Linked DNA regions of Oryctolagus cuniculus. The protein of the gene in region 5 purifies or fractionates together with the protein of the main gene of each other region. This does not show direct contact. Links are inferred from orthologs where the notes say so. Each region holds a gene or a part of one and is shown on either strand. Other genes may lie near its edges. The genes, in order: NIFK, PIP4K2A, DEK, CCNL1, CSNK2A2, ZMYND8 and GPATCH2.

Region 1 (4,318 bases), on a different chromosome or scaffold from region 5:
ACAACAAAAACAAAGGCAGAGGCATCACAATACCAGATTTCAAGACATACTACAAGGCAGTTACAATCAAAACAGCTTGGTACTGGTACAAAAACAAAGGGATAGACAAATGAACAGAACAGAAACACCAAAATCAATCCAAGCATCTACAACCAGCTTATATTTGACCAAGGAGCTAAAAGCAATCTCTGGAGCAAGGACAGTCTCTTCAACAAATGGTGATGGGAAAACTGGATTTCGACATGCAGAAGGATGAAGCAAAACCCCTACTTCACACCTTACACAAAAAACCATTCAATATGGATTAAAGATCTAAATCTACAACCTGATACCATCAAATTAAAGAACACTGGGGAAACCCTGCAAGACACTGGCACAGGCAAAGAGTTCATGGAAAAGACACCCTGAGGCACAGGCAATCAAAGCCAAAATTCACAAATGAAATTACATCAAATTGAGAAGCTTCTGTATTGCCAAAGAAACACTCAGGGAAGTGAAGAGGCAACCGAAAGAATGGGAGAAATTATTTGCAAACTATGCAACTGATAAAAAGGATTAATAACCACAATCTACAAAGAGATCAAAAAACTCCACCACAACAAACCAACCAACCCAGTTAAGAAATGGGCAAAAGACATTTTTCAAAAGAGGAAATCCAAATGGCCAACAGACACAAGAAAAAATGTTCAGGATCATTAGCTGTCAGGGAAATGCAAATCAAAACCACAATGAAGATTCACCTCACCCCAATTAGAATGCCTTTCACACAGAAATCAACAAACAACAAGTGCTGGTGAGTATATAGGAAAAAAGGTGTCCTAGTCCACTGTTGGTAGGAATGTAAACTAGTAAAACCACTATGGACAACAATTTGGAAACACCTCAGAAATCTGAATATAGATGTACCACATGACCCAGCCATCCCACTCCTGGGAATTTACCCAAGGGAAATGAAATGAGCAAATAAGAGTTATTTGTACCACCATGTTTACTGCAGCTCAATTCACAATAGCTAAGGCATGGAATCAACCCCAATGCCCATCAACTGAAGACTGGATAAAGAAATTATGGATATGTACTCTATGTAATACTACACAGTGGTCCGTATGAAAAAAAGAAAAAAAATCTGGTCATTTGTAAATTAGTGCAATAAGCCAGTCCCAAAGGGACAACTACCATATGTTCTCCCTGATCTGTGATACTTCATGGGACATTTTTTCCCCCTCTTCTTCATATTACTTGTTGAACTCTATGTTAATCATATGTGTATAAAGTCAACTAAAAATAGAAAAAGAAAAAAGAAAAACAAAAAAGGTCTTCAAGGAGCCTAAACTCTCCTTATGGTCAAGACAAGAAAGATCTGAAACAAGAATATCATCAAGCTGGCACTTGATACAGCTGAGAGGTAGACAGCTGGGTAGTCAGTAAAATTTCTTCTAGGAGACTCCAAAATGCCTAAGGAAGCAGCTTAATCTCTAACTGAACACTCATAGGAAGCTGATGCTACTTTACCCACATTTTGCAGATTACAAAACTGCAGCATGAGTATGCTAGCTCCAGAGTCCTTTGCCTTCACTATAAATCTTGGCTATTACTGATGTCTCTAACAGAGGCTAAAACAAGTGTGAATCTGGTTCTCAAACTGAAGTTCATTTACCCCTGGTAAATGAACATGATTCATTTGCCAGGACTGCCAATTTAACTTGTGAACTTGGGGCAAGTACTTCTGGTACACAAACATTTAAAATTCTAATTTTGCTCTAGAGGCTGTTTGTTTCAAAACCTCAGCCAGCCCCCTTTCCAGAGGGAAGTCTAAGGAGCAGAATGCGAGCACTTTGCATAAAACTGTCAAGGATGACGCGTTCGGAAGACACAACAGGGGATTCTGACTTACCCTTTTGCTTCTGGACAGTCGGAATCTTGTAACAGTGCCAAACTGGGAGAAATACTCTTGAATCTGGGTTTCATAGAGTGTTGGAGGTAGGTGGCCCACATAGATTACTCCAGGAGTAAGGGTTTCTTGCTTTTTTTTCTGAAGACATACAAACCCGATAAATCCTCTTTAATAAGACAATTGCATGGCAACAAAACTTGCAAAACCCCTAGCGCTGGGTCCAAGAGCATACTGTTTCCGCTTAATCGTAGGCTTCTCCCCACAAGGACAGCGGCCAAGCAGCCCACGTGGGCCAGCGTAGATAAGCAAGGACACGAGAACTTTGCACACCGGCACCCTTCAACTTGCAGGCAGATCGCCGGCTACCTGCGTCTAATCCGACAGTTCTTGAGACGCCCACCGACCCTCAGCGTCATCGCCCCCGTACCTTCCCTAAGCAACACTTTTAAGTTTCCCACATTGGATTTAATGCTGAAGACCCAAGAAAACACAAATTCAACGTCAGGGGACCTAGCTGGTGAGCAATGTCTCCCAAGAACCCCCAAATCCCTGGGGCCCCCCATCAGCACCAGCAAATCGGAAGCAATGGCGCTAACTGGGTCCCTAAGCGGCCCGGTAGCGCTGTTCCCTGGCTCGGTCTCCGCCTCCTCGCGCGTCGCCACGTGAAGACCTGGAACCCACGCCTACAGCACCGAACTTTCCGCCTCGGATCCCTCCTCTCCCAGAGGAGGCAGAGGTCGCTCACCTGGGTGACGCGCTTGCGGACTTGCTCCACCTCCTTTCGAAACTGTGCGTCTTTCTCCGGGTTGAGAGACAGAATGGGGGCCGCGGGTCTGGAGAAGTCCGCCATGCCGGAGGTGCGCAGGCTGACCCACGCGGCGCTCCCGGAAATGCCGAGCCTTCGGTGCGGAAGTAAGGCGGAAGGGGCGTGGTGAGAGCTGGGCAAAGGTCGCGGCGCGGGGGCGTGCCCGTGGGGGCGTGGCCTTGGGCGCAAAGGGGCCCCTGCGCCGTTGCTGCTTTCTTGACCATCTCAGCCTGTTTTCTCTTTCTTTTCTTTTCTTTTCTTTTCTTTTCTTTTCTTTTCTTTTCTTTTCTTTTCTTTTCTTTTCTTTTCTTTTCTTTTCTTTTCTTTTCTTTTCTTTCCTTTTCTTTTCTTTTCTCTTTTCTTTTCTTTCTTTCTTTCTTTTCTTTTCTTTTCTTTTCAAGATTTATTTATTTGAGTTACACACAGAGAGATGGAGAGGCAGAGAGAGAGGGAGAGAGAGGTCTTCCATCCGCTGGCTCACTCTCCAATTGGCCGCAACAAATGGAGCTGTGCTGATCTGAAGCCAGGAGCCAGGAACTTCTTCCAGGTCTCACTCACAGGTGCAGGGCCCCAAACTTTTGGGCCATCTTCTGCTTTCCCAGGCCGTAACAGAGCTAGATCAGAAGTGGAGCAGCTGGGACTTGAACCAGCGCCCATATGGGATGCCAGTACTGCAGTCGGGGCTTTACCCGGGCCTCTCCACAGCGCCGCCTCCCGCTCAGACTTTTTTCTATCAACCCGGGTATCTGAGGGGTCCGTGGGCGGAGGCCCTGCAGAATACGCCCCTGGGCCTTCCAGCCCAGCTGCACCCCCAGTCCCCCCCCCCCCTGCTCCGTGGCCCGCGCAGCTCCTCCTTTTCCGGGGGTAGGGCATGCATCCTGGTACCCTCTTCCTCTGGCCCCTAACCCCTTTCAGGCAGGGGAGAAGGAAATTCTCGAGTGACCTGAGAGAAGTATCTAGAACCTTAAAAATAAGGCCTATTGGGCAGGTTGGTTAGCTTGGTCTTGCGGACAAGACCCCCACGTCTCGCCTCAGAGTGCCTGGTTTCAGTACTGGCCTCTGTTCCAGACTACATCTTCCTGCTAAAGGAGACCCTGGGAGGCAGGGGGACTGGCTCATTTGAACCGATTCTATCCACCTGCGTGGGAGACCGGGATTGGTTTCCTGGCCCAAAGTTGCAGTTCAAGCCTGGGGTGGGATGGAGGAATTGCAGGCATCTGGGGGAATGAATCAGCATATGTGAGGGAACTCTCTGTCTCACAAGTAGACAAAAACAGGATCTATGAAGGAAAAGGATCTTGCTTGTATTCCATATTGGAGTGTTGAGTCCTCCATACTGTGTTTCCTAACCAGCTCCCTGCTAATGCACCTAAGGAAGGCAGATGATGGCCCAAGGGTTTGGATCCCTGCCACCCACATGGGAGACACAGATGGAGTTTGGGGGTCCTGGCTTTGACCTGGAACAGTCTTGTCTGTTGTGGGCATTTTGGGGGAATGGATCAGCAGGTGGAGGAGCTCTTACCTTTCACATCAATCAATAAATTAATCTTAAGTCCAAAAGGAAAGGATCATAAACCCTGATAAGAGCGTTCATCACAAAAACCAACCAAAAAAGCCAA
Region 2 (4,178 bases), on a different chromosome or scaffold from region 5:
TGGGATGCAGGCACCGCGGGCTGCGGCTTAATCCCTCATGCCACAACACCTGCCCCTGTTTTGTTTTTTGTTTTTGTTTTTCTTTTTAACCACTAAAAGTGGCGATGGTTGATGCCGGGGGAGCAGGTATCATTTTTGATGGTAGTAAAAAGAAAGTGGAAAAGAACTAGAGAACTCTGGGCCGTCCCTCTGAAGAGCACATGAGGGTGATCCCAGGATCTGCCGCCCCACCCCACGGAAGCTCCTTAAGGAATCCCTCATCCTTTGTCTCCCAAACAGAACCAAGCAGGGTACACCAAGGGCACAGAGCACAGCCCTGTATTGGGGCAGGGTAAAACTGATAATTGGCGACAATGTCACCCCTGAGCTGAGTGAGAGCGAGTACCTGGCATGCGATGAGATGACTGGGGAAGTTACAAAACAGCAGGCTTTTAGATGTACTTGGTAGCCTCAGAGGTGGGCCAGGCACTCCTAGCATAACAGCTAAACGTAGGTACCCATGGAGATGGCGACCAGGTTTCCACGGAGGAAGGTGAGGATACTGTGGCGGGGGGGGGGGCGGGGGGGGCGGGTAGGGATGGTGAGGAACACGCTGCGCTGACGGACTTCAAGAAGGAGGTGCAATTTAGGGGCCGTGTTTCTGGCTAAACCAAGGGCTCTGGAGAGCGATCCAGGGTCCTGCCTGGGGAGCAGCGAGGGCAGGGAATGACAGGGCAGAGTATTAGGTGCGATTCTCCCTCTCGAATGACTCAGGGAGTCTGGGAAAGAGCAAACCCAAAGGGCCAAAAAGGTGAAGGCGCATACGGATTAAGTTCGGTTCAGGGGCACTTTTCAAGGTGGACGTCCACGTGCCAAGATGCTCCGACTTGGCGCTTGGGGAGCCTGGCTCCGCATGCGGCGTTCAGGGTGCACCAGCTCTCCGGGACTCCCGGAACCGTTAAGCAGCGGCTCCCTGAGCCTCCTCGCTTCCCTGGCTCAGGCCTCTGGGGGCTCCCCGCCACCTCCCCGCTCCCAGCGCCTCCCTTCCTCTCCGCTCTCTGGAGAGCAGAGGGGATGCCCAGCGGAGTGCTCACGCTCCCAGCAGCCAACGCTCACCCCGCGGCCTCTTCCGCGTGGCCTGGAGCTGCCTCCCCGAGCTCTCCTGCGCACCGGGGCAGCCGGGCCGCGGGAAGCAGGAGCCGCAGCCGGAGCCCGAGCCGGAGCGCGCAGCCTAACGGTCCGGCGGCCGCGCCCCGCGCCCCGCCTGGCGGCGCCGCAGCTGCTGCCCGCCCGCCCCCTGCGTCATGACGCCGGCGCCCAACGCGGAAGCCGCTCGCGGCGCGCCTGGTCCAGCCGCGGGCTGAGCGCGGAGCCGCGGCGGGCGCGGGAGCCGGGCCGGGGCGCGAGCCGGGCACAGCCTCCCGCCGCAGCTGGGCCGAGCGGGCGGAGCGAGCCGAGTGGGGCCGAGTGCGCCGGCGGCGGCGGCGGCGGCAGGCGGAAGCGGGCACGGCGCGCCGGGGCCGCCGCCGAGGGGATGCGGCTGCCTCCCCGGGCGGGTGTGTAGAGGGCGGGTCCCCGGCCTCGGGAGCGCGGCGGTGGAGGGGACGGAGGCGGCGGCCATGGCGACCCCCGGAAACCTGGGGTCTTCTGTGCTGGCGAGCAAGACCAAGACCAAGAAGAAGCACTTCGTAGCGCAGAAAGTGAAGCTGTTCCGGGCCAGCGACCCGCTGCTCAGCGTCCTGATGTGGGGGGTAAACCACTCGGTAAGGGCTCGGCTGCGGCGCGCGGTCCTCTTCCTCCTCGTTCCCCTCCTCCTCCGGCCGCGGCTGCTGCGGGGCGGGCAGCCGGAACCTGCTGGGTCTCACCCTCCACTTCGGCGCCCCCGGCCCCGGGGCGCGCGCTCTCCCCTCCCGACCACTTGCGCCCCCTTTGGACCTTCGGACCCGGAGCGGCACGAGGGGTCCGGTCTGCGTTTGAGCCCTGCGGCCGGTGCTGGTGCTGCCCGCGGTCCGCTCGCCCGCCCGCAGGGAGGTCCCCGCAGCTTGGGAAGTGGGAAGTTTGTGCGGGGCACGGCTCCGCCTCGCCTGTCAGCGGCTGCTGGGGGCCGAGTCCAGGCCACCGCTCCGGTACCCCCCGCCGCCAGGCAGGTGTACCTGTTCCAGGTTGGGGGCGTCCGGAACCTCCTGCGGGCGGTCGGGAGAGCACGATTTGGGGCAACAGCTTAAGAGCTTAGGTCTCCCCCCCTCCTCTTTAAAGGAAGTATTATTAGACACGAGGAGGCCTTTTGGCAAATTAGAAGCCAGTGCAAGTGTTGCACTGGTGTTCAGCATCTTGGGCCGCTCGTCTCCCGCATCGCGGGCGGAGGAGCCATTGGCGGGGAGTGCGCTCCGCTCACCTCCTCCTGCAGCCGGCCCTAAGCCGCCGCCTGCGGAGGGCGGTCCGGGCGGGGCCCGCTGGAGGGGTCCCGGCGGGCGCGGACGGGGGGTCTTGAGCTGACAGCCTCTGCGCAGGGGCTGTGTTTAAAAGGCTGCAGGAGAACGCCTGGGGAAGCTTTGCGTACGGCCACGGGCGGTGGAAGATGCGCCCCCGCGGGCTATGCGGTTTGCGGTGCGAGGGTCCGAAACAGCCTCCTGCAGATCTTACCGCGAGGAACTCCTGCAGTTTTAATCAACTCAGATGGGGATCAGGAAATGTGATAGGAGCTGTTGGCAGAGCTGCGGAAGTAGAAATAAGACAGCGAATTTTGACCGTGACCTTGCCCACTGCAGTCAGTGGGCATCCGAGGAAAGAGGCAAACTTGCTTTTCGTGCTTTTGATGTCCACGGGTGTCATTGTGTCCTTTTCACCGTGACGGAGAAGGCAGAAAACCACGTTGGTGTTTGAGAGAGCACTCTCGGTTTCACGAAGTTGTTTAAGATGTCTCAGAAGCATCATTGTCCGATTTCTATTCCCCGATGGTGTTGGGGGAAAAGGTGAAACAGTAGCAGGGCTGATTGCGTGGAGTGGCTGTTTTTAACAAAGTTGAGAAATAATTGTTTCTACCAGCTTAATGTGTGATCCGCTTAAGTTCATTTTAACTGAAATACACTTTAAAAAAAAAAAAAAAAAAACAAAACTATCAGAGTTGTAAGATGTTGCAACAGCATACATGCATGGCTGCACCAAAAACTCCCCCAAATTTTATGGGGAAAATGAAACGAATGGTTTCCTATGTAATAAATCTGTAATTTAGAGCTATGTCTAATTTTGTTAAACACTTTTTAAAAAAAATTATGTTGTTAGTTTCTGGGATAGAAACCTGTAATTTACAGAATAGGATGTATGTCTCCTTGTGCTTACTCATATTTATGGGTGTTTTTATCTCTCAGAGTTCTGGTGTTTTGGCCAGGAGATTGTTTGTTTCAAGGTTTAATCTAGTAAAGTAGTGTCAACAGTGTGCTGCCGAAAAAGTGTGCTCCCCAGGAATCAGTCTGAATTCCAGTTTACTTTAGAAAATCTTGCAACTGTGCATGTGTTACTGGGACTGCTTATGTGTTACTGGATTTTATGGTTTGCTACATTTGTTTTATAGTTTCTTGCATTGGAAATATTTCAAAACTACTTAAGGCTTATAATGTATCATCTGTAGGTAGTAAGTTTGGTGTTACTTTTGTCTTCATGAGAAGTGAGTATACATAGCCAGCGGAGTGAGGTTTCCAGGTTTCCATAGGATACAAGCCTATTATTTATATTGGGCACAGGCAGTGCCAGCCACAGTGGGAAAGATTGCTAAAACCCCTCTCATATGTATGTCCAAATATCAGAGATATCTGCCTTCGTATTAAAAGCATCTTTTCCATGAGTTTCTTTTTCAAAATGTCTATTTGTTTTAAATATACTGGTTTTTTGGGGAAGAATACCAGAGTGTATGTAAGGATGAAATTTAAACTCTTAGATACCATGTACTTCTTGTTGATTTAATTTTAGGAGATAATATCTGATAGTAGATACATGTTTTATATGACTTGTGCCCCAAAGTTTACAGTTTAATGTGAGAATAAGGATGTCAGCAATATTAAGAATGAGCAAAAATAGTGCTGGATGTGAATGGGACCCTTGAGAAAGTATAGCTGAAAAGGAATAGATAATTTAAATGTCTTTTCCTACATCTCTAATGTGATCAGAATTAAGATTTGTCATGAATATAGTAGTTCCGTACT
Region 3 (4,226 bases), on a different chromosome or scaffold from region 5:
AATGAACTTGGCCTCATGGAGGAGCATCCAGGGAGGCTTGTGTGGCTGAAACAAAGTGTCAGATTGTCAGAAAGATTTTCGATTTGATTCTGAGTATGATGAACAGCCATTAGAGAATTTTAAACAAGAGAGTGCCCAATCTGTTCTCTTTTTTAAAAGATCACCTTGGCTGCTGTGCGGGAGTGGAGAGGCAGCAGGCCCCAGAAGCAAACAAAAGAAGAGAGGGGTAGAAAGAGCTGGTGCTGTGGTGCAACAGGTTAATGCCCTGGCCTGCAAGTGCCTGTATCCCATCCGGTCACTGGTTTGAGTCCTGGCTGTTTCACTTTTTTTTTTTTTTTTTTAAGATTTATTTATTTATTTGAAAGAATGACAGAGAGGCAGAGAGAGGGAGAGAGAGAGAGATTATTTTCCATCCACTGGTTCACACCCCAAATGGCCACAAAGGCTGGAGCTGGACCAATTTTGCTGGAGCAGCTGGGACTTGAACCAGTGCAAGCACTGCAGGAGGCAGCTTTATGGGCTCCGCCACAGCACGGGCCCCTGCTCCACTTCTGATCCAGCTCTCTGCTGCGGCCTGGGAAAGCAGAAGATGGCCCAAGTCCTTGGGCCCCTGCACCCCTGTGGGAGACCCGGAAGAGGCTCCTGGCTTCGGATCAGCTCAGCTCCTGCCGTTTCAGCCACTGGGGGTTGTGAACCAGCTAATGGAAGACCTCTCTCTCTGCCTCCCAGAACTCTTTCAACTAAATAAATAAATCTTATAAAAAAATGACAGGATTTCTTATGTTTTGGTTAGGGGCACAAAAAGGTACAGAGAAGATCCAAAGCATATGTCTAAGAGTCCATTCCAGGCAAATGTAATTAAAATGAGAGAGAGAGAGAGGGAGAGAGACTACTTGGTCTGCATTTACTGGTGTATAAATATGTGGATTTATTTACGCCCCTGGCGGTGTGAACCTTAAGGGCGTTCTCGCTCGCGGCATCTTACGAGCGATGAGGTCCCTCCGTGGCGAGTCTTCCCCAGCACGAGCTCTGGGACACAAGTAGCCCCCTCCACCCCTGTCCCACACGTCGGCAGCGACTCCGGGGGGCTCCCAAGGGTCCTCCCCTCAGCCGCCCCCTCCCGGCCCAGGGCCGCTCCGCGTCCTTTCCGGGAACGACCCGCCGAGACAATAAACACGCAGGCCCCCTAGCGTCCTCCCGTTCCCGCCGGCTCGCCGCCCGTCGCCGCAGCCGCGGCCGCGGCGGGCCGGCCCTCGGGTGACAGCGCCAGGAGCTCGCCCTCGCCCGCGGCCGGAGCCCCCTCGCGCCCCGCCCCGGCTTCCCGCGGAGGCGCCCGCGCCGCCCCGCCCCGCCCCGCCCCGCCGCCGCGCGCCCGCCAACTCCGGCTCGCCGCCCTGATTGGCCGCCGCATTCCCGCTCTCCTTCCCGAACCGCCATTTTGAAAGTCTTGTTGATTCGGGGAAGCGGAGCGGGCGGCGCGAGCGTCACGCCAGACCGCGGCCCGCACGCCTTCGCCTCACTGTGGGCCTCCGGAGCCTCCCGGAGCCTCCTTGTAGCTCGCGCGCCAGGCCCGCGGCGGCCGGGACCCCGCGGTGAGGGCCGCGGCGGGGGACGGGAGGCCGAGGCCGACGGGGGAGGGACGCGGCCATCGGGACGGCGGCCTGGGGCGGGGGAGGGGACGCGGGGCGGGTGGCGGGCGGCTCGGGCCGGAGGCGGCGCAGGCCGCGCGGCGGGCGGGCGGGCTGCTCGGGTTCCCGCCTCGGGGAGTCCCCGGACGGCGGGCGGGAAGTCGCCCCCGGGCACGGAGCGCCGCGGTCCCGGCCGCGAAAGGAGACCCCACCCCCGGGCTGGCGGTGGCCGCCCGGTCCTCGCGGCTGGAGCCAGAGGACCGAGACGGCCGACCTGTGCCCGCCCGCAGGTCCTCAGTATGTCTTCGTCGGCTCCCGCTGCGGAGGGAGAGGGCACCACCGCCCAGCCCGCGTCCGAGAAGGAGCCCGACATGCCCGGCCCGAGAGAGGAGAGCGAGGAGGAGGACGAAGACGACGAAGAGGAGGATGAAGAGGAGGAGAAAGGTGGCTATGGCTTTTGCAGACCCAAGTGCTGGTTTCCGTTTTTGGCCCCCTTCCCTAGGAAGCAGTTGTCTTTGCTGTTCTGGACCTCGGGAACGATGAACTGGAGTGATTTTTTTTTTCCAGCCAGGGTGCATGCGAAGTCGGTTTTTGTGTGGAGCAGCGGCGTAGTTGGCTTTAGGACTTGGCGGGTTTTGACACGTTGGAGTCGTGTAAATGGTTCTCAGTGGTTAGGCGCGCGTTTGGACGTGCGTAGCGCACTTCTCGGCCGCTCGGCTCCTCGCGCGGTTTGACAAGTTTGCGAGGCTCCGGGTCGGTGTCTTTGCGCTCCCCTTTCTGAGGACTCTTGCAGTTTGGCTGATGGCGTTGCACGTGTGTCTTTGGCCTGTTGCGCTTACTCCGAGGTCTCGTTCGGCCGCTCGTTTAGACTTGAGAAGCTATGCATGTTGGTCCTGGAAGAAAGATGTTAAACTCTTGTTTATTGCTGAACTTGCAGCTCGGTTCCTTTGTGGCCAGCAGCGAAAGCTGTTGCTACTCGAGAAAGTTAAACAAGAAACGAGTGCACTCTGAAAGGAAGTTAAAAATGAACCCAGAGCTGTCTCGGTTTTGGTGCTGAGTCTGCAGCCCCGGGGAGCGATGTTAACCACGGCGTCACTGGAGGCCCAGAGGAAGGAATTGTGTCCGCTTATCCAAGGTGCTGGCTGCCGTGCCTCTTGCTGATGTTGCCAGCTGTAGAAATCCGAGTTCTTTGCTGTTAGCCCGGTGTAGGGTGTGTTTTATTTTTTTATTATTATTTTTTTTTAATGGCTGCAGCTCACCCCAACTTGGGAAGAGGTTGTGTTCTCTTCCCAAAGCCAGGTTTAACTGTCAGGGTCTTTGTAAACATAGTCCGTGGAACATTGAGTGGTAGGCCTTTTGTCTGTTTACAGTGGTGTGTGCCCTGAGAAAGGAGGCTGTTCATATTTAAGTACAGCACGGCTTTTAATTATAACTTAGTGTGCCCTGTTGCTTAATAGTACAAATTATAAAGGAAATGCAAATTGGTTGCAGTATCTTGCTACTAGCTACTCTCTTAGCACTTTAATTTTTTTCTTTTCGGTTGGGGGACCAGAGCTGGGATGGTGAATTTTGTCAGGAAGAAAATTGGAGAAGGCAGATAAATACGAGTGGCCAACACAGAAGAGCTTGAGGCACTGGGGGTAGTTCACAGAACTCTGTGTTCTGTTGTAGGTGAATAAATTGTGCTGTATTTAAACAGGATTTTGTTAAGTTTATCCCGTAACCATTTTACAGTTATGTTTCATCTCATTTGAGATGTTTGTGGGACAACTAGAATTGTGAAAGTTTTATTATGCTTAGCCATGGGTGTTTAGTACTGAGGCATCTTGGAAGCAAGGCAGTGAAATTAATGAAGTCTGTTAAAGCTCAAATTGGCAGTGGTTGTGTGTGGAGTGGGAGGTTTGAGAGAAATGACTAGCAAAAGATGACTCGTGGGTTTCTTTGTCAATTTTGTGGCTGGTATTACTGTTTTCTGCAACAAAATTCTTTCAGGTGGGCAAGTCTAGAGATGATTTCTGTTTGGGATGTGTTGAATTTGGGTGCCTGTAGGACATGAGGTGGAGCTGTTCAGGTGGCCCGCAGGCATATATTAGCTGATAGGAATCTAAGAGTGAAGCTCTGCCTGGAGGTAGACTAGGAAGTCCTTGGTTCCTGGATGACAATCAGAAGGAAGTGGATGGTTTAAATCCTAGAGAGGATGATGAGTGATAAATGGGGTTGCTTGTTCTTTTGTAGAGATTGCCCTTCATTCTGTACACCATTTGCAGTATACACCTGTTGGTATTTTCTCCTGACATTGTTTTTGTGCAAATCCTTACAACGCCAAAAATTACCTGTCCTTCAAAGCCAGCACCAGTGTTTTGATCCTTTTTCACTAGTCTACAAATAACATCAAATCAGAACTTTCATTTGTTTCTTACGGTGTTTTTTCATCTTTACATTAGAGTATAATATCTGTCTCATTTTCCAAGTTGATGAGATCTTTTTCAAAAGTGTCTTAATTACCCCTTCCTAATTTCAAATGCTTCTTTGTACAAAACAGGCATCTTCTTATGAATGAGAGGATCTTCAGCAGTATGCCTATGGGAGTCTTATTTA
Region 4 (2,899 bases), on a different chromosome or scaffold from region 5:
GAAACTTCTTGCAACAATCCTTTAATTCTGAAGTACCCTTGTCTTCACTGGATACCACTTTTTTCATTTCCTTGATACCACTTGGGATAGCCACATCCCATACTGGAGTGCCAGTTCAAGTCCTGGCTACTTCACTTCTGATACAATTCTCTGCTAATGCACCTGGGAAAGCAGTGGATGACAGCCCAAGTACTTGGGAGACGTGGATGTACTTCTAGGCTCCTGGCTTCAGCCTGGCCTAGGGTCATTTTGATAATCTGGGGAGTCAATCAGCAGATGGAAGATCTGTCTCTTCCTGTCACAGTGCATAAATCTGTTCAGGACACTTCCCTTTGGAAACAGTACTTCAGTGTTGTAGCATTTAACATTATATTGCTGGGCCACTGCCATTTGCTTCATCCATAAACACAGTGAAGACTTACAAATAGCTCACAATACAGATAAAAATCACATTTTTAATCATCTCAAACTACATCTAATGGAGTACAGAAAAGTTCATCAGAAAATCAGGACAGCCAATTTTACTATTAAACTTTTGCTTTTTAATAATTTATTTAAATAAGATATTTGAAGCAGTTTAGAAAAACAAGATTTGTATTTTATTTCCTTGTAAAAATCTTTACACATGCAGACAAACCAGTGTTAAGAAAGTATTCACCATCATTTAAACAAATAACCACTTAAATAGAACAGTGTCTGCAATTTTATCTGTATAAAAATAAGATACATTTTTACAGAATTCACGCTCCAGTTCTTGTAGCAATAAACAATACACAACTATAATAAAGTACAATTGAACCTGACCATGGTTTTCAATTTAGATACTGCTAGGGCATTTTAATGTGCAAAAAAATTTAACATAGTTCTTTCCAAAAGAAATGTCCTCAGTGTTTCTAGAGACCTAGAGAGTTTTAAAAAAATCAAATCCTAATTGGTTTGCTTTTAATGATGAGTCCATACATCACGCTGTAGATAGCCAAAGCCAGGAACTGATGCAGGCTCAAAGGAAGCAAAAGTCAACGCCTGTGCCTGCCATGTCCTGAGCGACTGCTACCATGGTGCTTGCCTTTATGAGATCTCTCAAAGGAGCGAGACCTTTCCCGCCTGTCCCTATGATGTCCCCTTTCATGCCTGTGTTTCTTGGCAGCATCTGAGTGATCCCGAGACTTGCTCTGAGATCGAGAACGAGATTTTTTCCTTTTGTGACCATGTCTATTTGAACTTTTTAAATCATCTCTGGTATGCTTGGCCTTAAGGTGAGGAGAACCATGATTATGATGTCTTCGAGGGCTTTCACTGTGACTGCGGGACCTGCTTCTTGATCTCGAGCTGTATGTTCCAGATCGACTCCGCCTATTATTGTAACTTAGATAATAAAAATTGGAGGTTTAGATTCAGTCTCTATGGGCAACATATTATATTGATGGCTGCTTCTAAAAGATTCTAAACAAAACTACCAACTCCATTAGTTACAAGCCAAAATGGTAATTTTTCTAAACCTCCCCACCCCTCACTTCTCCCACCCAAGCCTAAAATAGAGAATCTTAAACAAATGTATCCAATGTCTATATTCCAAGGAGGGAAATAATAATTGCAAAGAACTAGTCTTTTTACTGATTCTCACATGTTCAAAAGAACCCCTGAAGAGGAAGAGCCACAGGACCTAGCGACGTAATTACAAAAGCTAACTACTGATTCTTCAGCTATGGTTAACTTGATTATTGGTTACTTATAAGAAACTTCCTATCTGAAACGGAACAGAAAGGCAATGTTTTTACAATATAAACAAGGTAATTCCATAGCATTTTGTGGGCAGCCCTTATTTCTTCAACAAACATGAGAAATTAAAATGCCATTAAGGTAAAATACCATAAAACAGAAAGTACACATCACCCTACCCCCCTCGGCCTCACAAGATCATTTCAAATCCAATTCTAGACTAAGAGATCGCTGATGCAACCTGCTTTTAAGAACTGCTTTTCCTAAGAAAACATTGACTTACTGTCTTCGTGGAGTGTGCGATCTAGACCGTGATCGTGTTCTTGACCTTGATCGACTTGCACTTCTGCTATTTCTACTTCTTTTGCTGTCTTTTCTTACCCTTCAAAAAAAATAAATAAATATTTCAGTTATATTCTTCAGTGTTACAAAGTATGCACAAGATTCTTCAGGCTAGTTTTCTAATCTACATACACTCACCCATTGTAAGGGCTTTTGGAAGCCTGTTGTCTATCCTCAGGTTCTTTTTTGACTGTCTTCACATTAACAGAAATTGGTGACTTTTCTTCAGCTTTTATTTCTCTTGGGGATGCTTAAAAGACAACGAGAGTGACATGTTTACTTCTATACATAAATGCTAAAACTTTCATTGTCCCCAATTCATTAAGTCCCAATGTATCTTACATGGTTTAGAAGCTGGAGAAAATCCACCAAGGGTTGAAAGGGCTGGAGTTCCATCAGGGTTTAATCCTTTTGCTTTCAGTTTGGCTTCTTGTAAAGCTACTTTTCTTTTTTCAACTTCTTTTTCCAACAATTCATAGTTTGGCTGTTGGAGGACAATGAATTATTATTTCTCCTCTGCAGTAATTTAGATTCTTGGCACCAAGGCTATCAGCACAAACTTGAGCAAACAGAAATTACCTTTTTTCTGGTATAAAGCCGAAGCGTTTCTATGCAAATTTCTTGGATCTCCTCTTCCGTAGTACCAAAAAGAAGAAACCAATGGGGACGAGTTGGCAGTGGAATCTAAACCACAAAAATAGAATGCTTTGAGTTTTCCCTGGTTTTTATTGGAACCACTGATAATACCTGTGATTTGTCCTATAGAACTAAATAGGCTATCTACACTTACCTGAAGTGCTCTAGCTGCAAGGTAGATGCATGCACATGCTATAGTCTC
Region 5 (4,265 bases):
AGCATACAGAAGGAGTGTAGTGTTCAGCCCTGGAAGCAAGGTGGTTCACGCCGCACCGTGAAAAGAAGCAACAAGAAACGCTTCATCAACTGGACACCAGAGGGGCCTGCGGAGCTCATTCCAGAACACTGGAACTTACTCTGGGCGCAACATGAAGATCCCGCAATCCAGCGCCGAAGAAAGCTGAGAGGGAAAAGCAGGGAGCAGCAGTGCTGGTGGTGAGCTGGCTGAGTTTCTTTGTGCCTGGGCCTCTCCTTTGTAAAAACCACCTGTGGCAGTCTTCATATTGAGTTCCCTAAAACATCCCAGCACGCTTCAGAGAACAGGAAAAACTCTCTAGTCACCAGGAAGTGCTGTGCAAGGATGACCCAGGAGCAACGCGATGCTCTCCTGGACAGACAGGCATTCACACACACACCTGAACGCTGCGCCGTTCAAAGAGGACACAGGAAATGGCACTTACTCTAACAATGCTGCTGTTGCACCAAAGTTTAGACATTTTTCTGGAACTGCCTCAGAGTCAGCACTCATTCTTCCAGACAGACAGCTGGGGAATACGGCTATTTCTAATTCCAACTTCAGCTCTGCTTCAAGTCAAAGCAGCCTGCAGTAAAGCATTTTGCTTATGTACACAGAGGAATTACATGGCCTCCCCAGGTGACTGCCTTGAAGGAACACCATTTCTTCACATATTTATGCTTGTTGGGGTGGGGGGAGGCCCTGGGACTTCACTGGTGGCTCATATTCAGGGGAGGGGGCGCCAGTCTGCAAATCCCTAACACCCGTCCCTCACTTCATGTGCCCAGCGTCTGACGGCACAGCGGCCTCTGCCGCTTTCTCTCTACCAGAATCCTGCTCCTCCATCACCGGCTAGGACAGCACTGAGCGAGGCTGCTGGGCACGGTTCTGAGAGGCGGCTCCCAGAAAGCCTGAGCCCGGCCTGAGAGGACAGGGCCTCCCCGCACAGCCTGACATGCACAGGCAGCTTCTGAGCCCCACAGCCCCCGCCACAGACCCTCTCCAAACACACGTTCAGGGATCTGGCGATAATGAAGACCCATGACAGCTTCTAAGAACAACTTTGCAGGACACCCAGTAAAACATTATTAAAGCCACACAGTTACCTGAAGCCAACTCTTCAGGCTCATTACGTCTTCACTCAAGAGATAACAGAAGGCCTATCATCAAACTTAAGATTGCGAAAGCAGACATCAGACAGTTTTGTTCCAACAGCTTGAGTGATTAAAAGTGCCTTCTAACTCCAGTTTTACTAGCTGATAAGCAGCTCCAGGGCTCCCAGCACTCCCTGCGCCCCTCAGCTGTCCCACCTGAAACTTCACTGTCAGAGGAGAAACAAGTGGTTATCACCCCGAGGAGTTTCCTTCCCCTTGGCTCCAATTTTCTCCAACTTTCTTTGTGGACTAACAAACACAGCGCTCAAAGAGCCCTCGGATCCATGGAATCTCCATGAAAAGGCTTTTCTTCCCTCTGAATATTTATTTATTTTGTAACAAATGGGGCCCTTTTGGGATTTTTGCTTTGGGAACCTCTAATTTACATTTTAGAACAAGGGTGTTCCTGATCCGTTCTGCTTAGATTTAAGGCCGGTCTGCGTGTTTTCTTAAGTCCAAGGAAAACGGGGTGGGATCCGGGCGTCCTGGACAGAAGAGACATAACGCAAGAGCCGGCACAGCTCGTTCTAGAAACGAGGCTCGGGTAACTCACGTCCTTTTGGCCTGTGGGGGAAAAAGTTACAAACCACTTATAGGAGACTCACCTTCAGAATTTTTACAACCACTCTCTCATTGTTGGTGATGTTAATGGCCTCAAATACTTCGCTATACTTTCCCCGACCAAGTTTTCGAACCAGCTGGTAATCATCTTGATTACTGTGAGAGGCAAAAGACACACATAAATGCTGGGCCTTGGGGTCCGCCGAGCCTATGCCCACGATACGCCCCGGCCGGCCACTTCCACGAACCAAGCGCTTGGAAGTGTCTATAATCCATGCTGCAACTCAGTCCCTATATGAAAGCTACAACACACACCAGGCTCCTGCTGCTCTGCAGGGCTCCCAACCTAACTGGTCCCTTGTAACTTGGGGGTAGACGCTCTGAGTCCATCATCCATCTCGCAGACCCTGGGAGCACTCCGCCCTGCCCGCGGTTCCACAGCACCTGCCCCCTATTTCACACCCCGAAGGTAGCCAGCGCCAGCTCTGAGAATCTGCACATCTTTCGAAAAAATCCCCCCCACCCCGCCTCGTGTCAGAAAACTAAAAAAGCAGCGCATTTTCATAGAAGACAGCTGTTGACTCCCCACCCCGAGAGAAACCCCCAGCCTGAGGGGCGGCTGCTGCCTCCCTTCCGCGCTAGGCCCTGGTCCCCCCCCCCCCCCGCCGGAGGGAAGGGGCAAGAGGGGTGCACAAAGCTGGGGGCGGGGGAGGAACGGCCGCGGGTGAGGGAAGAGGAAGAGGAGGACATGTGCGAGGTGGGGGCCTCTGCCGCCCAGCCCAGCCCTGCCCCGGCGAGCGGCCTGCGGGAGGCAGATCGCGGGGGCCGAGTGCGGTTTGCGCCGGGGGGCGGCCCGGCGGGGGTGGGGGTGAGAGGCCCCGGCGGGGGGCGGCGGCGGCGGCGGCTTTACCCCCAGCTCGGGACGTGAGCCTCGTAGTCCCAGTAATCGCGGCTCCTCAGGCTGTTCACTTCGGCGTAGACCCGGGCCCTGCTGCCCGCGGCCGGGCCGGGCATGGCGGGCGGGACCGGGGGGCGCCGCGGGGCGCAGAGGGCGGCGGCGGCGGCGCGGCGGGGGGCGCGGGGCGGCGGGCGAAGGAGGCGGCGGGCCGCGGGGCGCCGGAGGAGGAGGAGGAGCGCGGCGGCGGGCGGCCGCGCCAGGCCGGGCCCGCGGGGGCGGGCGGGCTGGGGGCGCGGGGGGCGCCGGCCGAGCCGGCCCGGCCCTGGAGCAGCCGGCGGGGCGGCGGGGCGGGCGGCGCTCGCGCTCCGCGGCGGCCTCCGCTCGGCTCGCGGCCCCCAGGCGGCGGCGGCGGCTGCGGCGACGGCGGCGGCGACGGCACCGGCAGCGGCAGCCACCGGCCGGGAAAGGGGCAGCGGCGAAGAAGGAGGAGGAGGAGGAGGAGGCGGAGGAAACCCGGAAAAGGGGCCGCGCTCACTAGGAGCGGCCGCCGCCCAGCCCGGGGCCGCCCAGGCTCACAGCGCCCCCTGCAGCGTGGGGGGACCCGCGGGGCGGTGCCGGCCCCGCCCCCCGCCCCGGCGCGCCGGTCGGGCTCTCCGCATCCTGGGGCTGGCCGGGTCTCTCCCGCAGGGCCACCCCGCCTGCCGTCGGCTGCCCTTGAGCCCTTGAGGACTGACCCCGAGACGCCCACCCCAAGACCGTCACCTCTGGTCATCCAGACCTTACCCACCCCAAGACCTCCCGCAGTACCCGGTCTTGATAGCCCTGTTACCCAACCGCTCTTCCCCAGTGACGCACTCTTCAACCGCAGAACCTCCCCCACCTCAAGATGTCCCCTCCCCTCGTGTGTGTGTGTGTGTGTGTGTGTGTGTGTGTGTGTGTGTGTGTTTTAATCCCTTTTCCCCGCTGTGGACCCTGCTCTGTCACTCGCAGACTCCTTGTCCTGAGACCCCATGCTCCTTCATCCCAAGTCTTCCCCACAAAACCCCTCTCCTACACCGTCCCCCACGTTCTCTTCCAGAGCCTTCTCTGAACGTCCACTTCGGTCACTTGGTTAAGCTGGGGTGGCCAGTCTGGCCTGTTTTGTGCCTTCTAGCCCTGAACTCTCTTCTCTCCTGCATCTTCTGGGTCTTCCTTGTGGCTGGCTCCCCCTTCTGCCCCACTCTTAGCGGCCCCTCACCCAGCCAGCCAGCTCTGACTCCCATCCTTTTTCATGCTGCTTCCTGGATAAGGCCCTTGATGGAGTTCAGCATTGTAGATTACCCTGCCGCCTGGGCATCCCGCATGAACTCTGGTTGGGGTCCTGGCTGCCTCTCTCTCTCTCTCTCTCTCTCTCTCTCTCTCTCTCTCCCCCTCCTTCCCTCCATCTCCTCCTGTCTGTGACTCTGCCTTTCAGATAAACTAAATCTTTAAGAAAAAAAGACCCAGGGCAAGCATTGCAGTGTGGAAGGTTAAGCCACCACCTGTAACACTGGCTTCTCGTTTGGGCACCAGTTTGAGTCCCAGCTACTCCACTTCCAATCCAGTTCCTTGCTAATGAGCCTGGGAAAGCAGCAGAAGGTGGCCCCCAAGTCACT
Region 6 (3,651 bases), on a different chromosome or scaffold from region 5:
CTTCAGAATCGGGGGGCTGGGCTTCCGTTTTGGGTCTGAGCTCCTAGCCATGAAGCGAGCTCGTGCGGTGCCCCACATAAAGGCGTCTCCGCTGGTGAGAACTGGAGTTCTTCCTTGCACTGCTGCGCAAGGCCGATGGTAATTCACGAGTCCGTCTGAGCAGGTCGCCAGGGTTTGGCTCCTGGAGAGCTGGCTTCAGGTCACCCCACAGAGTGTCCTCTCCGCCACCAGCTCTCGCTTCGGAGCTTATTAACGGGCGGGGCTGTGCTGGCCTTGGAGCTAGGAGAGCAGTGTGTGTGGCCAGGGAGGCCGTCTCAGCGTGCGGGGACAGGGCCTCCCGCAGGCTTCCTGCCCAGGCTCACCATCACATCAGCAAGTCCCATCCTTCCCCCAAGGGGGCGCTAGTTCTTTTTTTTTTTTTTTTTTAAAGTCTTTCCTCCATGTGCCAGAGACCAGTGACAGATTCTGGAATGATCAGGTCAATCTGATGGTGACCCATTGTGAGAGCCTAAGAAATGCACCCTTTTTGGGGCATTAAGTGTTTGGTTTTATATGCTCTGAATTTCTAGGGTAAAGTTCCTGTACCCTCTTTGTTTTTGTTTTCTTTTGTTTTGTTTTTGTTTGTTTTTTTTTTTGGGGGGGGGCTTGGTAAACTATCAGAATTCCCATTGAAGTTAATGTATTAAAATCTAAGTGATGACCCCACATGGTATTTCAAGCCTGACATCTTTTCAGATTGTACATTTTTTTAAAGATTTATTTATTTGAAAGGCAGAGCTACAGAGAGAAAGAGGGAGAGATTGAGATCTTCCACCTGCTGGGTCACTCTCCAGTTGCCACATTGGCCAGGGTTGGGCCAGGCCAAAACCAGGACCCAGGGGCTTCATCTGGGTCTTCCGCGTGGGTGCAGGGGCCCAGGGACTTGGGTCATCCTCTGCTGCTTTCCCAGGCCATTAGCAGAGAGCTGGATTGGAAGTGGAGCAGCCGGGGCTCAAACCGGCGCCCATATGGGATTCCAGTGCTGCAGGCGACAGTTTTACCCACTAGCTCACAACAGCTGGGGCTGGGCCAGGCTGAAGGCACGAGCCTGTTACTGAGTCCAGGTCCCCGATGTGGGTGGCAGGAACCCAAATACTTGAGCCATCACCTGCTGCCTGTCAGGGTGTGTGTTTGTAGGAAGCTGGATGGGAAATGGAGCAGGGACTTCGGCTGAGTCACTGGATGTAGGATGTGGGCGTGTTCACCACTGAGCCCTCTGCACTCTTTTTTTTTTTTTTTTAAAGAAGAAAACCAGCTGGAACTTTGTGTAAGTCAGGAGAGAAGTGACCTTTTTGTGGTCAGCAGTCGCAACGCATGTTTTGGTCTCATGGCTGAAAAGGGAGGCAGTGAAGGTGTCTCTGCAGGTTAGCAGCCCTGGCAGGCACTGTGTGGTGCCTGGCTCTTGGAGGCACCCAGCCTAACGCCTCTTGTGTACACGCAGGCAGGTGGGGACTGTGTCTACTATCTGGCAGGTCACCCAGAAGGACCCGAGGAGGCCCCCTTGTCCCAGACTCTTGCCCACCAGGTTGGCTGCACCTGCCTCTCTGGGGCAGCAGGTGGACCCTGGAAGCAGCCCCCAAGGCGCAGGAGTCAGCTTGTCTCTTTCCCTCGCTCCCCTTGGCTTCCTGAAACCCACAGCTGCCCGGGTCCTCCCGAGACGAATCCAACTCCAGTCTTGCCGGGTGGAGTAACTCTAAGAGGACGGGCATATTCCTCGCCGAAGGCGTCTGGTGTCACGGCCCGTGCGCGATCGGGGTGCTGGCCCGCATGTGTGTTGCCTGGGGGCCAGTTCACCTCATGTGGCCGAGACCTCTGCAGAGAGGACCGACCACTCAGTAAAGGAGCACCCTCGTGGCCACCTGCTCTGGCTCGCCCCTGCCTCCCAGCCAGTCCTCACCAAGTCCTCCCCTATCCCAGACGCGTCCCCCCCAGATCCTCACTCTGCCTGTGGAATCCCCCCAGCTCCTGCGAGGAGTCGCCCTCCGTCCGCCAGTGCCTGTCACCCCGAGTCGCTCTCGGTCACCGCTCTCAGGCCCTGCCTGATAATTCTCGACCTCAATGTGCAGTCCTTGAAGCAGAAGTCAGACTCACGTTAGACTTCAGCGTGCGCCCACTGCGCATTGGCAGAACCAGCTTTGCCGGGCTGCTGTGGAAAACCACAGCCAGCACCCAAGCCGTGCTCCTGACTTCTGGCGAGAACCCCACGGGTTCCTCTCGGGGCTGGGGGTCGAGGCTGTCCACACTACGCGGAGACTTTGACCTGGAGGGAGCCAGCAGAGACAGAGGGGCACCTTCCATGTGGGGCTGCTCAGCGTGGTTGGTGCCTGGCTGTTAGGCAGCTGTGGGTCCTTATTTTTATAATATTTCGTAAATTAACGAACTCACTTTTTTTTTAAAAGCTGTATTCCCTACAATATTGCTTTAAATACCTTTCTTTTTAAAAAAAATATTTTATTTATTTATTTAAGAGGTAGAGTTACAGAGAGAGATATATAGAAAGAGGTCTTCCATCTGCTGGTTCACTCCCCAAATGGCCGTAGTGGCCTGAGCTGTGCCAATCCAAAGCCGGGAGCCAGGAGCTTCTTCCAGGTCTCCCACTTGGGTGCAGGGGCCCAAGGACTTGGGCCATCCTCCACTGCTTTCCCAGGCCACAGCAGAGAGCTGGATAGGAAGAGCAGCCGGGACTCAAACCAGTGCCCATGTGGGATGCTGGCACCGCAGGCAGAGGCTTAGCCCACTATGCCACAGTGCCGGCCCCCATGGGTCCTTCAGGGTCCATGTTTGTAGGCCCCTCACCAAAGGGGCTGCTGCAGAGTTGATGTGGCGGGCTGCTTCTCAAGGTGCTTACAACACATTGCTCTTTTCTTTTTCTTTTTAAAGATTTATTTAATTTATTTGAAAGGCAGAGTTGGAAAGATTGATCTTCCATCCTCTGGTTTGCTCCAAAATTGGCCACAACGGCCAGGGCTGGTCCAGGCAGAAGCAAAGAGCCAGGGACTCCATCCAGGTCTCCCCCGTGGGTGGCAGGGGCCCAGGGACTGGAGCCAGTGCTGCTTTTCGGGTGCGTTAGCAGGGGGTTGGACCAGAAGCCGGGCAGCTGGGCAGCTGGGCCCATACTGATGTGGGATGGGTGCCGCGAGCAGGGCCCAGCCAGCCCCCTCTACACCGCGCTCTGACTTTGCCAGCCGTCCAGTGATTCCGTTCCCCCACCGCTTTGGCCCCGGGGGAGGGCGGTGAGAGTGTTCCTGCTTGCTTGCTTCCCCTGGAGCTCGCCGGTGTCACCGCCGGCTGCTGTCCCGTGGCCATTTACCTTTCTCCCCATGTGTCGGTCTCAGTTGTAGGGAAAGTGCCACCGTCTGCCGCGGCGGGCAGCCAGTCTCCCCCGGAAACGCCGGTGCTCACCCGCTCCTCCTCCCAAACTCCCGCGGCTGGTGTCACAGCCGCCACCAGCGCGACGTCCACGGTCACGGTCACGGCCCCGGCCACCGCCGCTGCAGGAAGCCCGGTGAAAAAGCAGAGGCCGCTTTTGCCGAAGGAGACTGCCCCGGCCGTGCAGCGGGTCGTGTGGAACTCATCAAGTAAGTTTCAAACGTCCTCCCAAAAGTGGCACAT
Region 7 (3,651 bases), on a different chromosome or scaffold from region 5:
CATATAAATACTTATTCCAAATGTTATCTTCATTTCTTAATAATACCTTACAGGACAATAGTAAGTTCAAAGGAAATAAACTATATATACGTGTGTGTATGTGTGTGTGTGTGTGTGTATGTTTGTGTGTATAGTTTAAAGTATAATTGTGTTACAAAATATATAAACTGAGAATATTTTACTCTTCCAGTGAGAGTAATGTAAATAATCATTCTTTTTTTGCTTATCTATAAACCATATTGTAGATAAATATGTATGTAACTATTTTAAAGTTTGTAGTCTTTTAGAAGTTGTGACTTTACTTATATATGCTAGAATCTGGCAACATACTTAAGTAAGCTTAACCACTTTGATAACATCCCTAAATTCTAATAAAAAAAAAGGCCTTTATTCCCAATATATTATAAATGTTGATACTGGTAATGACATGAAATGAAAAAACTTTTTAAAAAAATAATTTTTGACCAACTCTCAATCTCTGAAAAGCACTGAGTGGTTTAGAATGATGTACTAGCATTTATTGTGAGCTTACTGTGTTTCATAGTGCCAAGTGCTTTTCTTGCATTTAACTTGCTCTAAGTTCCTATTTAATTCTTTAAAAACCGTGAGATTCCCAATTTTTAAAGTAAGAAAACCTATGCTAATAGAGTTGACGTAAATTCTCCATTACTGCAAAACACTAGAGTTTTAATTTGTCTAACTGCATATTCAAGTTCTTCATGAACAGCGGTTTGATTTCTCTGTTAAGAACAAAGTTACAAGGCCTACATTGTGGCACAGTAGGTTAAGCCACTGCTTCTGACCAAGCATCTTGTGTGGTCATCGGTTGGAGTTCTGGCTGCCCCACTTCTGATCCAGCTCCCTGCTAAAGCACCTAAGAGAGCAGTGGAAGATAGCCCAAGTGGTTGGGCCCCTACCACCATGTGGGAGACCTAGATGGAATACCAGGCTCCTGGCTTTGGCCTGGTCCAGCCCTAACCATTGCGGCCATTTGGGGAATGAACCAGCAGATGGAAGATCTCTTTCTCTCTCTGTCTCTCCCTCTATCGCTCTGTAACTCTGCCTTTCAAATAAATAAATATCTTTTAAAAAAGAATAAAATTATCACATCAATAGTAAAATAGCTTCCTTTTTTCTTAATAATGTCTCAGTAGGAATTTAATCTAGGGTATTCAGTTTCAAGTTACTTTCTTTATTTTCTTGTGCTCAAATCTGATTTGTGATACTTTAAATATAACACAGTATAAGTATTAATATTAAGTTCTATGAATTCTACTTTTTATGAAATTAAGATTTTATTCCTCAGTTGAAATGTGCTATTGATTCTAGTTTTCTAAATGCTTTTGTCATTTCCTTTTCATTTAAAATACAACTATTTTTCATAAAATCATTTTTTCTATTGAATCTTTAGGTTTTTATTTTTTTAACTTTGCCCTTAAAAATGATTATAGTAAGAGAGTTTCAAGATAAGAAAACTTTGTTTAAAGAGAAAAAGTGTTTGGTAACTATGATGACTCTCTTAGAACCCAGAATTGGTGGTACCTTCTAAGAATCAAAAGAAAAGGGCTGATGCTGTGGCATAACAGGTTAAGAAGCTTCTACCTGCGACGCTGCCATTCCATATAAGCACCAGTTTAAGTGCTGGCTGTTCCACTTCTGATCTAGCTCCCTGCTAATGGGCCTGGGAAAGCAGCAGACAATGTTACAAGTGCTTGGGCCCCTTTAACTCACATTGGAGACCTAGATGGAGTTCTAAGTTCCAGGGTTCGGACTGGCCCAGCCCTAACTATTGCAGCCATTTAGGGAGTGAACTAGCAGTTAGAAGACTCTCTCTGCCTTTCTCTCTGTCTGTCTGTCTCTCTCTCTGTAACTCTACCATTCAAATAAATAAAATTAATTATTAAAAAAAATCACAGCAGGAAGACTTTAATGAATCTCAGATCATATTCAAAGTGCTAATTGTATATTATTTTGAAAAGCCTTCTGCCTTATTTTCCATTTATACAGCTCTTTATTTTCCTTTTTTTAAAAAATATTGATAATCACTAAAGACCACTTCATACTGGATTTTAAATTGACCTTTAAAATTGTCTCACGGTTATTCATGGATGTTCCCAAAAATCAAAATTAATGAATAGTGTTGTGTTTTAAAAACACCTCACTTACAATAGTTTGTTATATTTTCTTTATAAACTCTGTGTATTGTCATTTTTCATTTAAAATCAAGTTTTTCAAAGCTATTTCTTAATGAACTTAATTAGATTAATTTCATTTATTCACATCTGTTAATGACTATTTCCCCCTTTATACTCCATAGAAATCATGGAATTAAGCTAATTATATACCATTATCAGCCTTAAAGAACAGGTTCCACAGTTTTATACCTTTTAATTCCCAGTAGGAGATTAAGGCACATTTTCTTTTAATGTAGAATGGGTAGTACCTTAAATGGATTTCCCTATAGTTATTGCCAAAGGATTAACTTTGCATTTTAATTGGTTCTAAAATATAACATTTTGTGTTTTTGTTGATGGCAATGCTTATTGTAATATTAGAGAACATTTATTTCAGCTGTGGTATAGTGTAAAAAGCTTTCTTTATAGATAATATATATATATGTTTAACAGGTGATCTTGTATTCTATCATATATATGTAGTGTGTATATATATGTATACATGTATATATGTATGTATAAAATGTATATATACATATATACACTATATATATATAGTTGATAGAATACAATCCTGTATTCTAATATATAGTATATATATACATGTGTATGTATGTATAAAATATATATATACATATATACACTATATATATACTATATTATATATATATATAGTTGATAGAATACAGGATCACCAGTTGAATTTGAAATGTAGATAAATAAGACATAATCTTGTAGTATAAATGTGTCCCATGCAGTGTTTAGATATATTTATATTAAAAATATAGTACAAGACAACATACTCGCATTAAAAGTTAATCTTTTACCTGAAATCCAGATTTAACTGCCATCTTATATTTTTTATTATATAATAGCCCTAATTGTGTATTTGGGTGATAAGACTGAATTTTTAGTCCAGGGGCCTTCTGTCTTCACAGGTGATGATGAGCAGAGTGACTGGTTCTATGAAAAGGAGTCAGGGGGAGCATGTGGCATCACTGGAGTCATTCCCTGGTGGGAAAAGGAAGATCCTGCAGAACTAGATAAAAATTTACCAGATCCCGTCTTTGAAAGTATCTTAACTGGTTCTTTCCCCCTTATGTCGCATTCAAGCCGAAGAGGTAAGTAGCACTGTCTAATTAGTGGGTACAAAGGATTTTTGGTCAATCTAGGAAAGTTCATTGGAAGAGGAGAGGCTAAAATGGAAATTAAACATAAACTGGATATTAAACACAAACATGTGGGCACTAATTCAGCTATATTTATCATGCCTTCAAATGATGAGAAAATATTGAATTGCTTTTGTGCTAGGCCCATTGTGAAAATGTTGCAAAGATAGGAAAGTGAATTGAGAAAAAAAAGTTACCTACATGTTACTCTAGGGCTTAAGAGACTAGAAAGTAAAGTGATGACTGCATTGGAACCCTGCTAGGCATTTGCTTCATTCTTTTAGGTGTGAATTTTATATTTTCCTCAG

The links.
Region 1: the proteins of CSNK2A2 (region 5) and NIFK purify together in Homo sapiens (affinity purification with mass spectrometry; 3 studies listed by BioGRID and IntAct, with this or other methods). This does not show direct contact. The link is inferred for Oryctolagus cuniculus from reciprocal best matches to the Homo sapiens genes CSNK2A2 and NIFK.
Region 2: the proteins of CSNK2A2 (region 5) and PIP4K2A purify together in Homo sapiens (affinity purification with mass spectrometry; 3 studies listed by BioGRID and IntAct, with this or other methods). This does not show direct contact. The link is inferred for Oryctolagus cuniculus from reciprocal best matches to the Homo sapiens genes CSNK2A2 and PIP4K2A.
Region 3: the proteins of CSNK2A2 (region 5) and DEK purify together in Homo sapiens (affinity purification with mass spectrometry; 4 studies listed by BioGRID and IntAct, with this or other methods). This does not show direct contact. The link is inferred for Oryctolagus cuniculus from reciprocal best matches to the Homo sapiens genes CSNK2A2 and DEK.
Region 4: the proteins of CSNK2A2 (region 5) and CCNL1 purify together in Homo sapiens (affinity purification with mass spectrometry; 4 studies listed by BioGRID and IntAct, with this or other methods). This does not show direct contact. The link is inferred for Oryctolagus cuniculus from reciprocal best matches to the Homo sapiens genes CSNK2A2 and CCNL1.
Region 6: the proteins of CSNK2A2 (region 5) and ZMYND8 purify together in Homo sapiens (affinity purification with mass spectrometry; 6 studies listed by BioGRID and IntAct, counting the BioPlex papers as one, with this or other methods). This does not show direct contact. The link is inferred for Oryctolagus cuniculus from reciprocal best matches to the Homo sapiens genes CSNK2A2 and ZMYND8.
Region 7: the proteins of CSNK2A2 (region 5) and GPATCH2 purify together in Homo sapiens (affinity purification with mass spectrometry; 6 studies listed by BioGRID and IntAct, counting the BioPlex papers as one, with this or other methods). This does not show direct contact. The link is inferred for Oryctolagus cuniculus from reciprocal best matches to the Homo sapiens genes CSNK2A2 and GPATCH2.

The regions. Positions count from the first base shown.
Region 1 is NC_091434.1:128,335,430-128,339,747, reverse strand, and holds the start of NIFK (MKI67 FHA domain-interacting nucleolar phosphoprotein), read right to left. Parts: upstream 2,861-4,318; 5' UTR 2,745-2,860; coding exon 2,640-2,744; intron 2,033-2,639; coding exon 1,895-2,032; intron 1-1,894.
Region 2 is NC_091444.1:48,947,150-48,951,327, reverse strand, and holds the start of PIP4K2A (phosphatidylinositol 5-phosphate 4-kinase type-2 alpha), read left to right. Parts: upstream 1-1,315; 5' UTR 1,316-1,598; coding exon 1,599-1,742; intron 1,743-4,178. UniProt on the Homo sapiens protein: Catalyzes the phosphorylation of phosphatidylinositol 5-phosphate (PtdIns5P) on the fourth hydroxyl of the myo-inositol ring, to form phosphatidylinositol 4,5-bisphosphate (PtdIns(4,5)P2). Has both ATP- and GTP-dependent kinase activities.
Region 3 is NC_091436.1:145,447,162-145,451,387, reverse strand, and holds the start of DEK (protein DEK), read left to right. Parts: upstream 1-1,404; 5' UTR 1,405-1,592; intron 1,593-1,918; 5' UTR 1,919-1,927; coding exon 1,928-2,072; intron 2,073-4,226. UniProt on the Homo sapiens protein: Involved in chromatin organization.
Region 4 is NC_091435.1:123,685,989-123,688,887, reverse strand, and holds the end of CCNL1 (cyclin-L1), read right to left. Parts: coding exon 2,852-2,899; intron 2,746-2,851; coding exon 2,641-2,745; intron 2,546-2,640; coding exon 2,404-2,545; intron 2,312-2,403; coding exon 2,200-2,311; intron 2,102-2,199; coding exon 2,003-2,101; intron 1,366-2,002; coding exon 1,017-1,365; 3' UTR 577-1,016; downstream 1-576. UniProt on the Homo sapiens protein: Involved in pre-mRNA splicing. Functions in association with cyclin-dependent kinases (CDKs). Inhibited by the CDK-specific inhibitor CDKN1A/p21. May play a role in the regulation of RNA polymerase II (pol II).
Region 5 is NC_091449.1:41,552,337-41,556,601, forward strand, and holds the start of CSNK2A2 (casein kinase II subunit alpha'), read right to left. Parts: upstream 2,894-4,265; 5' UTR 2,748-2,893; coding exon 2,644-2,747; intron 1,890-2,643; coding exon 1,778-1,889; intron 1-1,777.
Region 6 is NC_091442.1:12,513,314-12,516,964, forward strand, and holds part of ZMYND8 (MYND-type zinc finger-containing chromatin reader ZMYND8), read left to right. Parts: intron 1-3,374; coding exon 3,375-3,651. UniProt on the Homo sapiens protein: Chromatin reader that recognizes dual histone modifications such as histone H3.1 dimethylated at 'Lys-36' and histone H4 acetylated at 'Lys-16' (H3.1K36me2-H4K16ac) and histone H3 methylated at 'Lys-4' and histone H4 acetylated at 'Lys-14' (H3K4me1-H3K14ac).
Region 7 is NC_091444.1:31,838,044-31,841,694, reverse strand, and holds part of GPATCH2 (G patch domain-containing protein 2), read left to right. Parts: intron 1-3,112; coding exon 3,113-3,295; intron 3,296-3,651. UniProt on the Homo sapiens protein: Enhances the ATPase activity of DHX15 in vitro.